6 linked regions of the Kluyveromyces lactis genome follow. The protein of the gene in region 1 purifies or fractionates together with the protein of each later gene. This does not show direct contact. Links are inferred from orthologs where the notes say so. Each region holds a gene or a part of one and is shown in the gene's direction. Other genes may lie near its edges. The genes, in order: RRP4, MPP6, LRP1, MTR3, ECM16 and RRP43.

Region 1 (3,047 bases):
AATTCATCAAGGAATTGAAGAGCACTGTCAGGTAAGTTCATCACGTAGTGATCGAAGAACTGGTTTTTGATTGGGATCTTGGTTTCAGGAGTACGTTTAGTTTCTCCCGTGACTTTATCCTTGTACTTCTTACCTCCTGGCACCGTGATGACTCCCTGTACCCTTTCGATGAATTGTTGTAGTAGCTTGGGACTATCTCTGATGAATTCGCGGCCATCGAGGTTCAATGGTTCAACGAAGTTACCCACCTTATTGTCGATGATATTTTGCTGCATGTACTTGTAAGATTCTGGGTTCAAATCGTTACTTAGAACGATGACCTTCTTCTTTCCTGCTGGAACTGAGAATGGCCCCACCCCAGCAAACACATCACCAACTATTTGGCCCGGTTTGAATAGACTCACTAACCTTGCATGTTCTGTATGTAGTCTTGAGTTCCAGTACACTTTACTGAAATCGAAAGTGAATGAACAATCAGATTCCCTTTGAGTCACTAGCAGGTTCGGTTCACCCGCTAGGACGTTCATTTCGAAAGTTCTGAATTTGGTAGCAATGGAATCCACTTTATCGACCACGGTCTTGATCGTCGAATTCTTGTCCAAGATGACTTGTCCAATTATTTCACCAAACGGTTTGAACTCTTTCCTTAAATTCAAATGAGCTACGTGTCCCACAATAGTGAACCCAGTAGGAATCTCAGCAAGGTACTCCTCTGGTAAAATTGCATTTAGAATCTCTTCCACTTTCCAGAAGTCATAATCTAGCACATACTCATGGTTTCTCAACTCATACTCTTGCTCATCAAGAAATTCTAGTGCATTGGAGGTCAACTTCCCTCTCGCCTGCGAAACATCTTGTATACTGTCTTTTAGTATGATACCTTTGGTTATATGGTTGTCATTGGCCAGGGATTTGCTTTTCTTCTGTACTGGCTCGACATCGTTCTTATCAGTATCTTCTTTTGGTGTTTCGCCAAGTCTTATAACGAATGGAATTCTTGGTGTCCTTAATATATCGTCCTTGAACTTCTTGGTGAAGACAGAAATATTCTTTGGATTCTTCAATAGCAATACAACAACAGGAAGCTTCTTTACGAATAATGATTTATCTAATTGTTTCATGCCACGATGCACTGGTGGTTCATATTTGAACGTAGTTTCAATAGCTCTACTCATTGTTCTTCGAAGCACTAGGCCAAACCTCATAAAACTAGTCCTCCTCTATCCTTGAAAAATGGAGCAAAATAGTGTGCTATCACTTCACCAAATAAAACGCTGCCTGACGGTCGATCTTTGCTGCAACATTTTTACATCTTTTACAACGCTCATCTCATCTCATCTCATCGCTCTCTTATTTAATTTGGAAAATTTTCAGTTAACTAACACCAAAAGTAACAAAGGTACAGCGAGGAAGTCAGCACATCGAACGCCTTCTGCAGTCCCTGACATCGTTATATCATTACTTGGAACAATGAGTGATGTTATTAGTGTTATCAATAGGAACGAATTTTGGTCTAATGGCCGTTTAGAACAGGATGAATATGAATCAGATTCCAGCTCAGGTTCAGAGCAAGAACATGACATTGAGATGAGCGGTGCTCACGATTCCAATGGTGGAATAGACCATCAGGATGGGTCTATTGTCACACCTGGTGAATTAATAACCGATGATCCTATATGGATGAAGGGTCATGGTACTTATTTCTTGGAAAACAAGACATACAGTTCTGTGGTTGGCACAGTATCGAGAGTGAATAGATTGCTATCCGTTTTACCATTAAAATCTCGTTATATTCCCGAAACAGGTGACCACATCGTGGGTAGAATCACTGATGTTGGTAATAGAAGGTGGAAAGTGGATATTGGAGCCAAACAGTATGCGGTTTTGATGTTGGGTTCTGTTAATTTACCAGGTGGTGTATTGAGACGTAAGTCAGAGACAGATGAGTTGCAAATGAGAAACTTCTTGAAAGAAGGTGATCTACTAAACGCTGAAGTCCAATCGTTGTTCCAAGACGGTTCAGCTTCATTACATACCAGATCGTTGAAATATGGGAAACTAAGGAATGGTACGTTTGTTCAAGTCCCAAGTTCCCTAATAGTGAGATCTAAAAATCATACACATAATCTTCCAGGGAATGTCACCATTATCTTGGGTGTAAATGGGTTCGTATGGATAAGGAAATCCTCCAAGATGGATCTTTCCGGTAAGACCACTACTACAGGTTCAGGACAATCTGACCATTTACCAGGATCCAACAATGCAATGTCGGTTTCCATTACAAGATTGGAAGAAGAGAGTTCTTGGGAAATATATTCGGATAAAAATGATACTGTTACTGTAAGCGTTAGGCAAACAATCACAAGATATGCAAACGTAATTAAGGCGTTAGCACATTGCGAACTCGGTATCACTGAGCCAAGAATAATATCCGCATATGAGGCTTCAATGGCTTATGGTAACTTGGGACAGTTAATTGAATCGGAGACGATGGAGTCCTTAGGTCAAGACGTCATCAACTCAGAGAAGATGAGGGGAGCAGCATAGGTTGTAATCGGTAATATTAATATTTACATGAAGTAGTATTTTATAAATAAAGTGCATAATATTTACAAATAATAAAATCTTTTCGATAAGAGTACCATCATTTGGATGTCTCAGATGTTGGTTTATTATGGGTAGCTTGTAGCGAGTCTTGCTTCTTTCCATCGTTTGTGAAAGATTCAATTCTGCTCTTAACACTAGCACCAAGATACTTTTCAAAGAAGCCAATTTCTTCTTTCTTCTTACCGTCACCTTTACGCTTGGCAACAATACACCATGTCGTACCGAAATGTGTTCTTCTTTCTTCGACGACATCCAATCCAGAATCGTCAAGGATTTCTCCGATATCCAAGTTCCATCTACAACCCCATGTCTTTAAACGTTTCTCAGCTCTATCGTCAAGAATTTTGTTGATTGTATCGTATGAACCTCTTCCGTGTTCCAAGAGAATGATTCTACCGCCAGGTTTCAACAATTCAGCAAAATTCTTCAAAGATTTTACA
Region 2 (2,324 bases), on another chromosome or scaffold:
AAGGCACCATCTTTACTGACCGTGTATATCTTTTCCTGGTCATCGCTGAAATATGCTCCGATAACGTTATCTCTATGTCCTGCAAAAGTCGTCGATGCAAGATTTTTCTCCTCCGAGTTAACTGACCATATCCTTGCCGTTAGGTCCTTGGATGTGGATATAATAAATCTTGAATCTTTTGACCATGTCAAGGAAGTTATATCAGAAAAGTGGCCGGCATGGATTCTATAACGAACAAAAGGTGCAAACTGTCTATCCTCAGTGGTCTCGGGTGTCCTCCATATTTGTAAGAATCTCCCACAAGCCAGCGCAAATAACTTGCCATCAGGTGAAAACTTCAAGTCATAAACCTTTTCTTTGAAGTTGAAATGATGCAATACGTTTCTTGTCTTAAAGTTCGCCAAGATACCACGACCATCGACATCAATGGAAAGAAGTAACGTACCTTGCTTGTTGATATCTACAACGGCAACGTTCTTCCTATGTTCATATTCGAAGGTAAAAGCAGTATTGTTGATCAAATCAAATACCGACACCCTATTACCTACCGGTGAAAGTAACTTGGAACCATCTTGAGAGAACAAGACGTTACCTTGCCTATAAACAGTTCCCAAAAGATTGGAAAACTTAAAATCAGACTTCATCCGTAACTAAACCCTTATAAAGCTCGTCTGACCTGATTCCTTCCAACTAATTGAAATTGAACAACTGATTATAATGCAAAGTCCTTACAAGTGACTGATAATCCGTCTGCACTTCCTGCTTGAACTCATCTCATCTCATCTCATCTCATCGCTCAATTTTTTCTCTTAAATTTTTCGAAATCCTGTATGCTGAATGAAAAAGAAAGGAAAACATATACAGCTTTAGCACGGAAGTAAAGAAAGAGAGAACAGAAACATGTCGGTTTTTGGGTGGATTGTCGTTTATGTCAGCACTTGAAACTTAGTATGAGTACTTCATTATAGCTGTTTTCATACTTTTACCAATGACCTTTTTATTTCATTTATTTTTGTACAATGTTCCTTTTATAGTGCAGATCCTTGCATTCTGAAATACGTCCGACGGGGTTTAACCATGGATATTTCTATCTTCTTGCTATCTTTCATTTTCCGGACAATCGTAAACAAACTTTTCATGAAATTCTAATATGTAAGATCAAACCATTCAGCAGAAGATTGATGAGATGAGCTGTATTAGGACTTTAATGATACATTAAAAATGTATTCCAGTGTCAATGATATAGTGAAGCCTATTTGAAAGCGGTAATAGGGGCACTAAGACGAAAAGGTAACAATGAGTGGACAGAAACGGCATGAAGTCACAGGCAAGTTATCCAATAGAGTGATGAACATGAAGTTCATGAAGCATGCGGAACAAGCAGACAAAGTTAAACAGACCGAGGAGACAATAAAGAAATTGGTGGACTCGTCAGAATGGAGGATAGGTGACAATGTAAAACTCTTGACAAAACTTGCTAATAAATCAAAAGTGGTACAGAACGTAGGTTTCTCTGCTATCAAGTCACTGAATGATGAGGATTCGAAGATCGATACAAACGATCTCAGCACAAGCACACTACGGACTAGTGTAAATGCAGGAAGAAGAATATTCGGAAATAAACTCGGACGAGCTACGCCCGGTTCAGATGGGAGTTCTAATGATAAGAAAAGAAGTTTTGAAGAAAAGGACGAGGACGATGTGTCGACGACAGATTTAGAAAAGCTATGGGAAGCCGAAACACAGACTAAGAAACAGAAGAAATCCAATGGTAATGGTAATACTGAGAGGAATAAGAAGAAGTCAAAAAGGAATAGAAATTAAACTTCATAGCAGGATGCTAAATGAGACACTAGTATTTGTATATTATTTTCGCCGACTTATATAATAAATAGAGTAGATCAAATTCCGGTAACAATACTCCATTCTATAAATGTGAACTATTTTGACCTCTTCTTACTTGAAGTAGAGGTAGCAGCTTCTGTGAAATGCCCCTTCAATATTACTTCTCTAGTTGTTGAATTTATATGCTTGAATCTATCTGGACCAATATGAACTCCTCCGAACCATCTTCCAACGGCAACAATTACATTCCATGCATCCATCACTGTGATCAAATGTAGCATTCGTCCTCCTGCAGCTGTTTCTCCATCGTCATCGCAGTCTTGGAAACTGACACCGTTCTCTCCCTTGATTCTCCATGCAACCATTAAATGATTAGCACGAGCAATTTTATTATCGGTTCTTAACAGCTCAAGCTTATCGAATGCCTCTTCTTCAGAATTGGCTTTAGTAGCAAACGCAATAAACGTGCTCTTTCTGTC
Region 3 (2,363 bases), about 380 kb from region 1:
TGTAGAGCTTTCCTAGTGTCGTTGTTTGTCTTGATACTTTATTGATGTTGATGTTTACTTGCTAGTTAGTTATTTTAATGTTTTTCGAATTTTGTTTCCCCCTCAAAGAGCGACAAATTCGACAGATTTAAGAGAAAACATATACCAAAGAGATAGAATTGCGTTGGGTATTGAACCTCTATGGTTCTGCAACTGGTGCCAACAGATATTTTATAGTGTATCATTACAGCTTTATCTTTTACTATACATATTATATGTGTATATGTGTATAATTGGTCAAAAACGTTCGCATGACTCAAATAAAAGATGGATCATATATGTGATGTGTCGAATCTCAAACGAAAACGAAGATTACATCCACCTATTGGCGTTGCATCTCAGTGAGACGTTTAAGATTGGCCAAGTTCTCCAGGATCTGGCCATCTGAGATCATAATTGGGGTTTGCGTATCGTTGCGGAAGTAATCTTCTGCACTTGTATGTGCTAAAGGTGGACAGAGTCTGAATGAACCAGACCGATCCATTTGATGTTGGAAGGGGGAATTTTCCGAATAGAACGCAGTTCTATCGAGTTTGACTTTGAGATGGTTCTGCTGTTCGTCGTTCCCGTTCTTTTGGTATAGGTTCTGTAGAAGCGGTTGCGGTGGCTGTATTCCAGCCTGAAGCGATGATGACTCGTGGTTCAATAGGAAGGATACGTTCATCTGTTTAGAGTTCCGCTGCAAAAGCTGATCCATTTCTGTGACGACTTTCTGCAAATTTGATGCCAAGGTTGACCATGATTCTGCATCGCTTGGCGAGAGCGAGTGTGCTTGCTCACGATATTTCTCACGAACCTGTCGTAGCTGTGTCTCTATATTCGATAAGTCATCAGCGACCATTATCTATGCTGACGAGAAACAAACTAAAGTACTTCTTGAGCTAGGCCAGTGTTGAAATTAAGTATACTGGCGGAGGGTGGATGTTACTTCAACAGTCCAAATAGGACTACTCGCCCTGTATTGAGTACAGGTTCTCCATATATGTGGTATGAATGTGTGTAATGTCTTGCGTTTTTTTTTTTTTTTTTGGCAGGCAAATATGGAATTTTCGCTGGATAAAGAAATAGAAATATTACTGAAGTACTTCTACGTGCGAAACGCACGCAGATTATTATGCGTTTTGTTCCATTGCGAAAAATTCGCAGTATTATGTTATTGATCGAAAATTTTGATTCAGTGAAGAATACTTCATCTCGGTATTATACAGCTTCATCTCATCTCATCTCATCTCATCTCATCGCTGCCTCAGTCGACAACGACAAGAACACGGACCACATACAACTACCAGCATGGAAGATACTAAGAAAATTAAACCATACATCTCGTATCTCAATAAACAGGTGGAACAACTCAGTGGTGAGATTAACAAACTAACGAGCAAGTCATTGGACGAACAACTGTTGCTTCTGCAAGATGAAAAGAAGAAACTTGATCTTTCAAACAAATACGCATATGTATTGAGTTCACTATGCTTTTCATACATGAAAGTCCTCAATATCAAAGACCTGTCACCTATCATGGCCGAATTGGCAAGGTGTAAGTCATATATGGATAAATCTAAACAGTTAGAAGCTAAGAAAGAATCTGAAGAGAAGGATGAGGTGGAGCAAGAAGAACAAGCAAAAAGAGTTCTACAATCTGCGTTGGGAGGTGGCAAAATGGAACCTGCTATCAGTAAAGTCAACTTTCAGGGGAAACATACTAAGTTTTCGACAGAGGCTTCCACCACCAGCACTGATAAGGATGGACTGGCAAATCGAGTAGTAGACGGAACAAAGAAATCAAAACAGCAAAAACAATCTGGTAAAGTATCGAAGAAATAATTCATCTGAAATATGTCCTGGCATGTTCATCCATGTATTCCTGGGTCTTATTCTGGCATTCTATATTAATAATTAGCATCGCATTTTTCACTGACATAACAAGTTGTATAGTATAAATACACTAAAATTGGGAAACAAAAAGAAGGAAATTCCAGTTGGCAAACGTGAACAAGAATTAACCAAAGATACAGGTTTCAAGTGGCAACAGAGAGTTACAGAGACCAGTAAAAGGATTAAAAGAAGTACATTTCAATAGCCATGATATCTGACGAGGATATTTCAACTTTCCAAGGTGTTTGCGGTACAGATAACGATGAATTGTCAAGACATTTCCTTGAGATGGCCGGAGGCAATTTGGAAACAGCCATCTCGTTATTCTTTGAACATGGTGGTGAGAGACAGTTGAACAGCAATTCTGGTAATAATAATGCCGGTGCTGGTGCTGGTGCTAATACAGGGGGTTCTGGCGGTCTGAGTGGCGACGTAGAGTTTGCTGAAGA
Region 4 (2,536 bases), on another chromosome or scaffold:
GATCTGATGTCAAAGGTTTCCTTACAAAGAGAGCCAAAACTTATGCATCAAATTTTTTAAGATTGGATTGCCGTAACTTTAGTCAATACTTTTCCTCCCTCTTCTGAAGTATGTACGAGATAGTACATTAAGTTCAATATACTCGTTGTTCCCTATGTAAAGATGTATGTTGGCCTTATTCAACGGCTTTCTGCCTTGATGTTCTTGTTTTTACGATTCAATCTCTCTTAGATTGTTAGTTTTTGTTCAAGAAAAAAGATTGTAGGTTAACTGTCATTCATGATATTCTGTCCTACTGCAACTTGTTTGAATCAATGGACATTCCAAGTTATATGGTTAGACTTTGAGCAATATTCGCAGAGTAGTTTGATTTTAATCAGAGTCCTGGGCTATTGGTGGGGTGTAATATCAAAAATCTTTATAATTTCTGCCAGATGCCTGGAAGAAACGTTACACTAACAGAGTCGGTTTAATTCAAAAATGTACTTTGGTCATCCTTTTCTTCGGTGGTTCAACCAATGAACGAATGACTTGCCTTGATTCTTGAAACCTATGCATGAAAGAGCTTCTGGTGAGAGCATTAGCGAGGGTTCGGCTTTCGATCTGGTCCAAGTGAATAGCTTCTGACTTTGTCTTGATGATACACCCAGAAACGATACTGGCTTTTGTATGTACGACTGGCAAGGCGGGTTAGAGTGGGGTGTTTTAGTTGCCAAATCCCAGGTTGTGAGGGGGGGGTCTCCGTCTGCCCCTCCACCGGTTTGCGAAAACGGTCACCTGGCATGAACCGGAAACAAGTGCTGTTTGGAAACATATGAGAAACATATGAGAAACACCAGTTAGTCACGTGGTTATATAACTTCACAAAGCAGTTCTCTCCGTTTCCTTCTGACGTATGAGGTGATGAGCCGAAAGCTAGTACACGACTCTTTTTCAGAAATACGGATCTATTACTATTTACTGGTTTGACAATACCGGGCGACAGCCACTTCTTCTGTTTAGAAATCATTTCACACGTACTGATCGTCGGTTGATTTGTAAAAAAGTTCCAATGCTGCCTGCCGATAATTTGGAAACAAGTACGGTACGGAAACAAACGGGAAACAAATAGGAAACACATATATATTATCACGTGATGACGTTAGAATTTTTCCATCTCGACTATTTCAATCGTGGTATTCTGTTAGTGACCGTTTTGCAAGTGAATATACATGCGATGAGATGCTTCCAAGTTGACGTTGGCTAGTGCCATATCAGCATATATTTACTTGAGTTTGTTTCCCATCGTTATATTAAACTAATACCCACAGAAGAGAGGTCTATTAATGAGTGTGCAAGATAGAAGAAGAATATTAGGGCCAGCAGAAGCGAAGCCATTGCAGTTTGCTGCAATTACTCCTGTAAGAACCGTAGAGAACAGGGACGATGGTAATGGTAATAAATCGGGTAAGGAATCTGTGTTCATTAGTACGGATTTAGTAACGAATGCAAATGGTTCCTCATACCTAGAATATATGGATGGTACTTCGGATCAAGTTCTCGTAATGAGTTCTGTCTTCGGACCCAGGCCATTGCGAGGCTCCTTCCAATCTAAGGCATCAGTATCGATTCAGTTCAAAGAAGTTACGTTAGAACATTTGAATACCGGAGAAATTAAAGAAATTTGTACTTTCCTAACAAATGTCTTTAATGCGGTGATAAACGTTGAGAAGTATCCAAAATCTGGTATTGATATCTTTATAGATTTGATCCAGCATTCTAATAGTAATCCAACAGAGGAGGCAAATATCGTTAATATTCTACCCACATGCATTAATTCTATTACCATGGCTCTTGTAGACGCAGGTATTGAAATCATTGATTTAGTGAGTGCCGGGTCAAAAGATAACTCTGTGGTTGCGTTTATTAGGAATGGACATGAAATCGTCGGTATTTGGAGCGATGACGATAACGTCACTGACATATCAAAATTAATAGAAGAGTGCAAGGCAAAATATTTGGTAAATAAGCAGACTTTGGTTCAATATCTTAAATGAAATGAAATGGTTAACGTAATTTCATAGTGATTCATAATTAATGTGACACGAACGCTTCTTCTGTATTAGCAAAATAAAAATATACAAGGCTTTACCATTAAGGGTGAGGATTCGTTAGAAACATATCCTATTTATACATGGGTTGATACTTTAGATATAGTTAAGTACAATAGAATGCGATTTATTCCAAGTTATCTAACACTTGCTTGATTTGCCATACTTTTTTGGTGATAATATCGATATCAAAATTGGTACGTTTCATGTAAACAACGGAAACATCGGTGTCCATAGTAGACTTATACCAGTTTTGTAATGTTTTCCCAGTGAAATATTTGTTCCTATTCAAATCAAATTTATTATCATTGATTAGAACACCACATTGTTTCAAGAACTGCTTCGTGGTAGCAATTAATTGGTCCACGTCTTTTACAGTTTCTTTAAATTGAGGGAATAATAACTTGAAAGGTTTCGAGATCATAACAACATCGTGACTGTTAGCA
Region 5 (3,960 bases), on another chromosome or scaffold:
CGGAAAGATCCTTCAAAGTGACCTGGGCCACATCTTTCAAATTACCTTCAGTCAACTGCCAAACTATTGAGAAAGACCAAAATTTAAGATAGCCAATTAAACCGAAAGGAGATAGAGGAACTTCAGGACCCGAAATCAGACCCTGACATCTTGATAAAGTGTAGGAAAACTCAATCAAGAGAGTACCCAATCTTCTTCTTTGATAGGGCGGAAAGACAAGAATACATGCAAGGTTATTTTGGTGGTAGGAATATAAGTCTTTTGAAAAAAATGCCATCGGTACTGTAGAATTGTTCTCATACACAATATAGAATTCGAAATGCTTAACTTTGAAGTAGACAGACTTGTTATCAAGAAATAGCTTAGTAAATAGACATAAGCATTGGCAGAAAACTTCATGCTTAGAACCTTTTACCCTTCGTATAGTGTATTCGGGGCTTCTGTATTTTATTCTACCGGGTGGCTTATTCTTATATCGGCAAAAGCACTCATGTGCGATTAACTCTGCTTCATCATCAGTGTACTTGAAACAATATTCACATACGTATAGGGTATCAATCCAATACTGATCTTCAAACTTCTTTTCAGTAGGGCTTTGTTTTGCGGTGTGCTCATTGTTCGATTCCTTGAAGCCCAAGGTCCTCTTATTTCTTCCAAAATAAACATTACTCCCGTACCAAGTTGCAAATCTTTTATTCAAGCCAAATTGGACGTGCCTAATATTAGGCTTGTCAAGAATACCATATATTTCTTCATCCTCTGTTGAGCTGTTGTGCTTATCAGGTTTGGGAACCATTCATTAATGATTTGAAAAGAGGCAAAAAATGCGATTTATCACGTTTCCCAAATTTAATGAGTACTTGAAAACCCAATTAACGGTGGAATCAACTGCTCTTTGAACTTAAATGTACAAAAGATTGCCTATATCTTTGAATTATCAAAACGTTGAAAGCGACTTTCTTTTTTTTTTTTTCATCTTCCTTTATGGCAGAAAAAGCTTTAAAGCTCATCGCATCTCATCGCATCCAAGCTCACCTGCATCTATATATCAAAATCTCGTTGATAACAGGCTGGTAGTCTGAATGTTATAGGCCTCTGTGACATTAACAGTCAAGAGAAGTACCTCGCACGTTAAACGGTCAAAAAATTGAACAACAAACATGGGTACCTATAGGAAGCGCTGGAATGAGAAAGCACGCGCGGGTCAGATGTCTAAGTTGAAGGAGTTGAAGAGAGTAAGGAATAGGCAGTTCACCCGTGCACTTGAAAATTCTTCCGATGCTGATTCTGAAGAAGGTAATTCATCTGAAGATGAACATCATGAATCACCCGATCATCAGGAAGATACGAACGCTGCTGTATTGAAACCCATGACGGAGGAAGAGAAACAAGAGAAAAAGCGTAAATTGGAAGAGCTATTCACACCTAAGGAAACGAAGGTCTCTAGGACGAAGAAAAAAAGGTTAGAGAAGTTCATCGAGCATCAATTGAAAAGAGAGGAGAAAAAAGTTTTGATAGAAAAACTTCAGGACTATAAAATTGATACTAAGCTTTTGACAAGTTCTAAGATTTTGGGACAAGGAAGGCAAACTAAGAGGCAAGGGATTGAAGAAGCCCTCAAATTAGAAAGAAATGGACGTGGTGATGAAACTACCAGGGAAATTCTTTACGATGAAACTGAGGTAAGGGATTGGTATCAAGATCATCCAGAAACTAGGCCCAGTCAGGAAAGCACAGCTGAAAATTGCAATTCGGATAGTGATGAAACGGACCATACCAGTTCAGATCACCCTATTTCGGCAAATACTGGGGGATTTATTGATAATAGACCCAGTAAATTTGGTGGGTCAGGTTTTGGTTTTGGATTCGGTAATGCAAAGGTGGTGAATAAAAGGGCCTCGAAGAAAAGGTATAACTGGAAGCAAAAGGTAGAGCAAGAAGAACGTAGAAGGCGTAAACTGGATGATGATCAGGATTTTGAATCTGACGAAAGTGAATCAGAAGAACATTCATCCACTGCAGAAAGTGAACCTGATGAGAGTGAATCTAATAGTAATGCTGATAGTCACAGCGATGATGAGTCGAGTGAGTCTGACGGCGAGGAAAGATCGGATTCAGAAATAGCGCAGTGCAGAAACGTAAGTTCTTCAGTTGCCCAAGAATTTAAAGAGTGGGCAAATCAGGAAATTAAAAAGCTTGAAGGTAGAGATGTAGAAATGGTTATGCCTTCCTCCAACATCAAGGTCGATAGGACCGAGAGACCTGAAGACTTTGAAGATGGACTCAAAGCAGATGAATTTAATGTGAACGAAAATTCAACACGTAAGGCTTTTTATGTCAAGGTACGGAGATCTGATGCTGTTCAAGCTGTGAGAAGCGCACTACCTGTTTTCGCCGAGGAACATAGAATTATGGAAGCTATCCATCATAATGACGTTGTAATCATTTGTGGTGAAACTGGTTCAGGTAAAACGACACAGGTACCGCAGTTTCTTTACGAGGCAGGATATGGTAATTCGTCCTCAACTGACACGCCTGGGATGATTGGAATAACACAACCTAGAAGAGTGGCCGCTGTCTCTATGGCTGGACGTGTTACTAATGAGATGGGTGATCATGGCGAATATGTAGGATACCAAATTCGGTTCGATTCTTCTACCAAGGATAAAACAAGAATGAAATTTATGACTGATGGTGTTTTGCTAAGAGAGATGATGAACGATTTTAGACTTTCTAAATACTCTTCTATCATTATCGATGAAGCTCACGAGAGGAACATCAATACAGATATTTTGATTGGTATGTTAAGTCGTTGTGTCAGCTTACGTGCTAAGGAGCATGCAACTGATCCGGCTAAGTACAAAAAACTTAAACTAATTATCATGTCTGCCACCTTGAGAGTATCAGATTTTAGTGAAAACCCTACTTTATTCCCTGTTTCTCCACCTGTCTTAAAGGTCGACGCCAGGCAGTATCCAGTGGCTGTACATTTCAATCGTAGAACAGCTTATAACTATGCTGAAGAGGCTTTCAGGAAGACGTGTAAAATACATCAAAGGTTGCCTCCTGGTGCTATCTTGGTTTTTATGACAGGACAGCAAGAGATCACGCACATGGTAAAAAGGTTAAGAAAAGAGTTTCCTTTCCCCAAGAAACATCAAACTCTCATTCAAAATGACCACATACCTACAGTGAAAATAGATGCCAAAACTGCAGATGTAGAAGCTGAAGATATCGACTTCAGTGTCAGAGTTAGAGAGGAACAAGAATTTGACGATTGTTTACTCTCTGATGAGGAAGATATTGAGGACAAAGAAGAGGACGAAGAAGAAGGTTTTGAAGAAACACTTGAAGAAGGTCAGACGGATAGAGATCCACTATATGTTCTTCCTCTTTACTCGCTATTGCCCACCAAAGAGCAAATGAAGGTCTTCCTTGATCCCCCACCAAACTCCAGATTATGTGTTGTTGCTACTAATGTGGCAGAAACATCATTGACCATACCGGGAGTAAGATACGTCGTTGATTGTGGTAGATCAAAGGAAAGAAAGTTTGATGAAAATAATGGTGTTCAGAGTTTCGAAATTGACTGGATTAGCAAAGCTTCTGCTGGCCAAAGAAGTGGTAGAGCAGGGCGTACAGGGCCTGGTCATTGTTATCGTTTATACTCCTCTGCAGTTTTCGAAAGAGATTTTGAGCAGTTTTCTAAGCCTGAAATTTTAAGAATGCCTGTGGAGAGTATAGTTTTGCAAATGAAGAGCATGGCTGTTCATAATATTGTGAATTTTCCATTCCCTACCCCACCCGAAAGACCAGCTTTGATGAAGTCAATAAAGCTCTTACAACACCTAGGTGCACTCGACAGTAATGAAAGAATCACTGATGATGGTAAAGCAATGAGTTTGTTTCCGCTAAGTCCAAGATTTTCTAAAATGCTGCTTGTTGGTAATGAAAGCGACT
Region 6 (3,017 bases), on another chromosome or scaffold:
CAACCGCTATTGAAGGAACGTGACCTCCTTTAACGTTTTGCTTAGAGGTAAAAACTGCACCGAATTCTCCCAAAGTTATAATAACAACCGAGGAATTTGATGTGTTTATCAAATTACTCTGATAATACTGCGCTAATTCTAGGTATCCCAGCTTGAAGCTCTCCGCAATTCTCGATTTGTAGTTCTCAACCACGGCTTCACCATACAGTGATTCGCCAATTTGAATGGCTTCAATTTCATTAACAATTAAAATATCAACAGATTTCCAGTCTTCTACTTTTAATGCATGAAATGGAGAAGGGTTGAATACTACCTCAAAGTTTGGTCTATTTGCCTTTATCCAATTCATGATGGAAGGAGGATCAGGAATTTCATGTTGAAACACAATGAATTCTTTGGCGTTATTTTGAAACATCACTTCAAGCTGCTTATCAGAATACATAGTCTTACTGTTCGCTCCTGCTGTAATCATGATTCTATTTTGTCCCTTAGCTTTTTCCACTATAATTACTGCAACACCAGTTGACTCGTCATCAACCTCTTCAACATATTCTGTATTGATGTTATGATACTGCAATTTTGATAGTAGTTGATTTCCAAATGAATCAGAACCTACGTGGCCAACCATCCTAATGTTGCTTGTCTGGTCATCAGATGGTTTGGTTAATTTCGCGAGCGAAATGCATTGATTCAACCCCTTACCACCAGCATGTGTTTCAAACGAATCCGCAACGAAGGTCTCTCCTGCTACCGGAACACGCTCCGTATACGTGACCAAATCAAAATTTAACGATCCCACGACAACTATGCCCATACTGTTGTCTTGTTTACTTTGGGGTCCAAGCTCTTTATGTCGCAGTTAATGCATTGTATATACTGTCAAATCCTGCATATAATTCTTATCATTTCGTTTCAGATGTCCATAAATAAACCCAAAGCAGAGAACAAAACGGTACCTTTTTACATTTAAGCTAATTAAAAGTAACGAAGATGTAACGTACCACTTGACATCTATCCCACCTTTCGCTGGATTAGCTGTTATTTAGGGTATATCACATCAATATATCGGTCACGTGAGAATTATATTCTTTTAAGCAGCCTAGGGAGTCCGCAGATCTATTCAGAACCTTGTCACTTAAGAATTGAAAGGCATAACCAGTATACTGTATCGATTCCTGATAGTGTTCGACCCTCTCAGGGGTTTATACCAGTGTTTTCCATCCATTATTACTGCATAAATCTTTCAAACCTTCATAACGTCAAGGATGTATAAAAAAGTGAAAAACTTCAACTAGGTCTTTTACAAACGATTATAGCTCATCGCATGGGCTTAAGGATGGAGGAACTCCGCCAAGGAGTTGCTACAACCGATCAAGTATGACTGAAAGTATTGATATACATCCAATAGTTTTCCCACCCGAAGTTTTAGCTCGAATTTCGCCTGACATCTCCTTACAAAGACATTTGTCTTTGGAAACTCGACCATGTTCAAGAGGATTCGAAGAATTCAGAGATGTTGCCATTAACGATGGTAATATATCTAGGTACAGTACGAACTGTCAAAATGCAACTACAAATAACATTATTGGTTCCAGTCTTCTACGCTCTGGCAAGACCTTTGTGATAACTTCGATAACGGGTGGCATCATTGAAGAGACATTACCGGCGAACAATACTGAAGATGTTGGAGAAGAAGAATTGATGAAGCTTTCAGAAGATACTGATAGGCTCTGCGAAAATTCAACTATTTATCCCGTAGTAGAGGTACAACGTGGACGTGTTGGTGGTCCTACCGATGAAGAGATGATCACTTCAGAAAAGCTATACAAGACACTCTTACATTCTGGAATTCTTAAGAAAACAGCTTTGGCTGTATCGTGCGGTATTCGCAGGACTGAAGAAGATGGAAGTGTCACCACAATATACAGTGACGAGCTACTCGATGAGGAGAAAAAAATTAATGAAGCAAACAATAGGAAATGGTCCTATGTGCTTTATGCCAAAATACAAGTTTTCAGCCGTAACGGTCCAATTTATGATCTCTGTTGGAATTCTTTGATTAGTGCGCTAAAAACAGTGCAACTACCTAGAGCTTTCCTAGACGAACGTGCTGCTGATTTGAAAATTGCTATAAGAACCCGAGGTCGTAGTATGACAATTCGTGAAACATACGACATCTTATGCGACCCACACAAATCTTTACCTTTAAAATTGAACGAAGGAGAATTATGCTATGGTTCAAACTACGGAATCATTGACATCGAACCTTTAGCACAATTGGCCAAAAATGATGACGAAATGGACGTGGATAAACCAACTTCAGTATTATTAGCGGATATAGAAACAGAGGCCGAGGAATCATCAATTCTATCTACATTGTCCTTGACAACGAACAAAAATGGTCAATTCAAGGCTGCAACAATCATCGGAGGTGACTCTAAGATCACACCTGAAATGATAAAAAGGTGCATATTTTTATCTAAACAAAGATCAAAAGATATTGAATCCAAAGTTTAGTTGTGTAAGAAGCATATCGATATCTTTATAATACACGACATATTCAAACTTTCTTCAAAACAAACGTCAGAGTAATCTTGAACGTCAATCAATAGTTACTTACAAAAGAGGCTAAATTTCTAGTTATCTACGTGAGTTCTCTTTCGTACCAAATCATGACAGGAAACCTATTGAAGGTAAAACATCCATAAGAAAATGTAACATAAATAAACAAGGATGAAGAGAAGAGAATAAAAAATGATAGCGTGTGTTGAATATTACAACGTTTACATGCAAAAACATGTATTTATGCCTTCTTAGATCTAGTATTTCTCTTTCTTGGAGCTGGAGAAGGAGAGGGAGTACTCACATTCTTCAAATCGACATTCACATATTCGTTAACCTTAGCTGCAACACCACCACGAACTCTTTTAACAACCTTAGACTTCTTTGTGCCTTGACGTCTGTACACTTCAATGTAAAATGCAATGAATAAAAATAAGTAAGAAGAGATGATGGCG

What was found.
Region 2: the proteins of RRP4 (region 1) and MPP6 purify together in Saccharomyces cerevisiae (affinity purification with mass spectrometry; 4 studies listed by BioGRID, with this or other methods). This does not show direct contact. The link is inferred for Kluyveromyces lactis from reciprocal best matches to the Saccharomyces cerevisiae genes RRP4 and MPP6.
Region 3: the proteins of RRP4 (region 1) and LRP1 purify together in Saccharomyces cerevisiae (affinity purification with mass spectrometry; 6 studies listed by BioGRID, with this or other methods). This does not show direct contact. The link is inferred for Kluyveromyces lactis from reciprocal best matches to the Saccharomyces cerevisiae genes RRP4 and LRP1.
Region 4: the proteins of RRP4 (region 1) and MTR3 purify together in Saccharomyces cerevisiae (affinity purification with mass spectrometry; 3 studies listed by BioGRID). This does not show direct contact. The link is inferred for Kluyveromyces lactis from reciprocal best matches to the Saccharomyces cerevisiae genes RRP4 and MTR3.
Region 5: the proteins of RRP4 (region 1) and ECM16 purify together in Saccharomyces cerevisiae (affinity purification with mass spectrometry; 3 studies listed by BioGRID). This does not show direct contact. The link is inferred for Kluyveromyces lactis from reciprocal best matches to the Saccharomyces cerevisiae genes RRP4 and ECM16.
Region 6: the proteins of RRP4 (region 1) and RRP43 purify together in Saccharomyces cerevisiae (affinity purification with mass spectrometry; 6 studies listed by BioGRID, with this or other methods). This does not show direct contact. The link is inferred for Kluyveromyces lactis from reciprocal best matches to the Saccharomyces cerevisiae genes RRP4 and RRP43.

What each region holds. Positions count from the first base shown.
Region 1 is NC_006041.1:1,129,885-1,132,931, reverse strand, and holds RRP4 (exosome non-catalytic core subunit RRP4), read left to right. Parts: upstream 1-1,233; coding exon 1,234-2,547; downstream 2,548-3,047. Other genes in the region: TRM5 (tRNA (guanine) methyltransferase), read right to left, coding at 1-1,205; OMS1 (putative RNA methyltransferase), read right to left, coding at 2,645-3,047. UniProt on the Saccharomyces cerevisiae protein: Non-catalytic component of the RNA exosome complex which has 3'->5' exoribonuclease activity and participates in a multitude of cellular RNA processing and degradation events.
Region 2 is NC_006039.1:782,856-785,179, reverse strand, and holds MPP6 (Mpp6p), read left to right. Parts: upstream 1-1,296; coding exon 1,297-1,824; downstream 1,825-2,324. Other genes in the region: snoRNA-binding rRNA-processing protein PWP2, read right to left, coding at 1-644; YIH1 (Yih1p), read right to left, coding at 1,941-2,324. UniProt on the Saccharomyces cerevisiae protein: RNA-binding protein that associates with the RNA exosome complex. Involved in surveillance of pre-rRNAs and pre-mRNAs, and the degradation of cryptic non-coding RNAs (ncRNA) derived from intergenic regions and the ribosomal DNA spacer heterochromatin.
Region 3 is NC_006041.1:1,510,274-1,512,636, forward strand, and holds LRP1 (Lrp1p), read left to right. Parts: upstream 1-1,329; coding exon 1,330-1,863; downstream 1,864-2,363. Other genes in the region: KLLA0_E16985g (uncharacterized protein), read right to left, coding at 362-880; DNA protein crosslink repair co-factor UBX5, read left to right, coding at 2,122-2,363. UniProt on the Saccharomyces cerevisiae protein: Required for exosome-dependent processing of pre-rRNA and small nucleolar RNA (snRNA) precursors. Involved in processing of 35S pre-rRNA at the A0, A1 and A2 sites. Required for activity of RRP6 in 7S pre-rRNA processing.
Region 4 is NC_006042.1:1,688,687-1,691,222, reverse strand, and holds MTR3 (exosome non-catalytic core subunit MTR3), read left to right. Parts: upstream 1-1,325; coding exon 1,326-2,036; downstream 2,037-2,536. Other genes in the region: CHO2 (phosphatidylethanolamine N-methyltransferase), read right to left, coding at 2,218-2,536.
Region 5 is NC_006042.1:1,597,097-1,601,056, reverse strand, and holds the start of ECM16 (ATP-dependent RNA helicase ECM16), read left to right. Parts: upstream 1-1,160; coding exon 1,161-3,960. Other genes in the region: SAS2 (histone acetyltransferase), read right to left, coding at 1-796. UniProt on the Saccharomyces cerevisiae protein: Probable ATP-binding RNA helicase. Required for 18S rRNA synthesis. May play a role in restructuring of the pre-rRNA.
Region 6 is NC_006039.1:318,921-321,937, forward strand, and holds RRP43 (exosome non-catalytic core subunit RRP43), read left to right. Parts: upstream 1-1,377; coding exon 1,378-2,517; downstream 2,518-3,017. Other genes in the region: RBK1 (putative ribokinase), read right to left, coding at 1-814; KLLA0_C03542g (elongation of very long chain fatty acids protein), read right to left, coding at 2,804-3,017.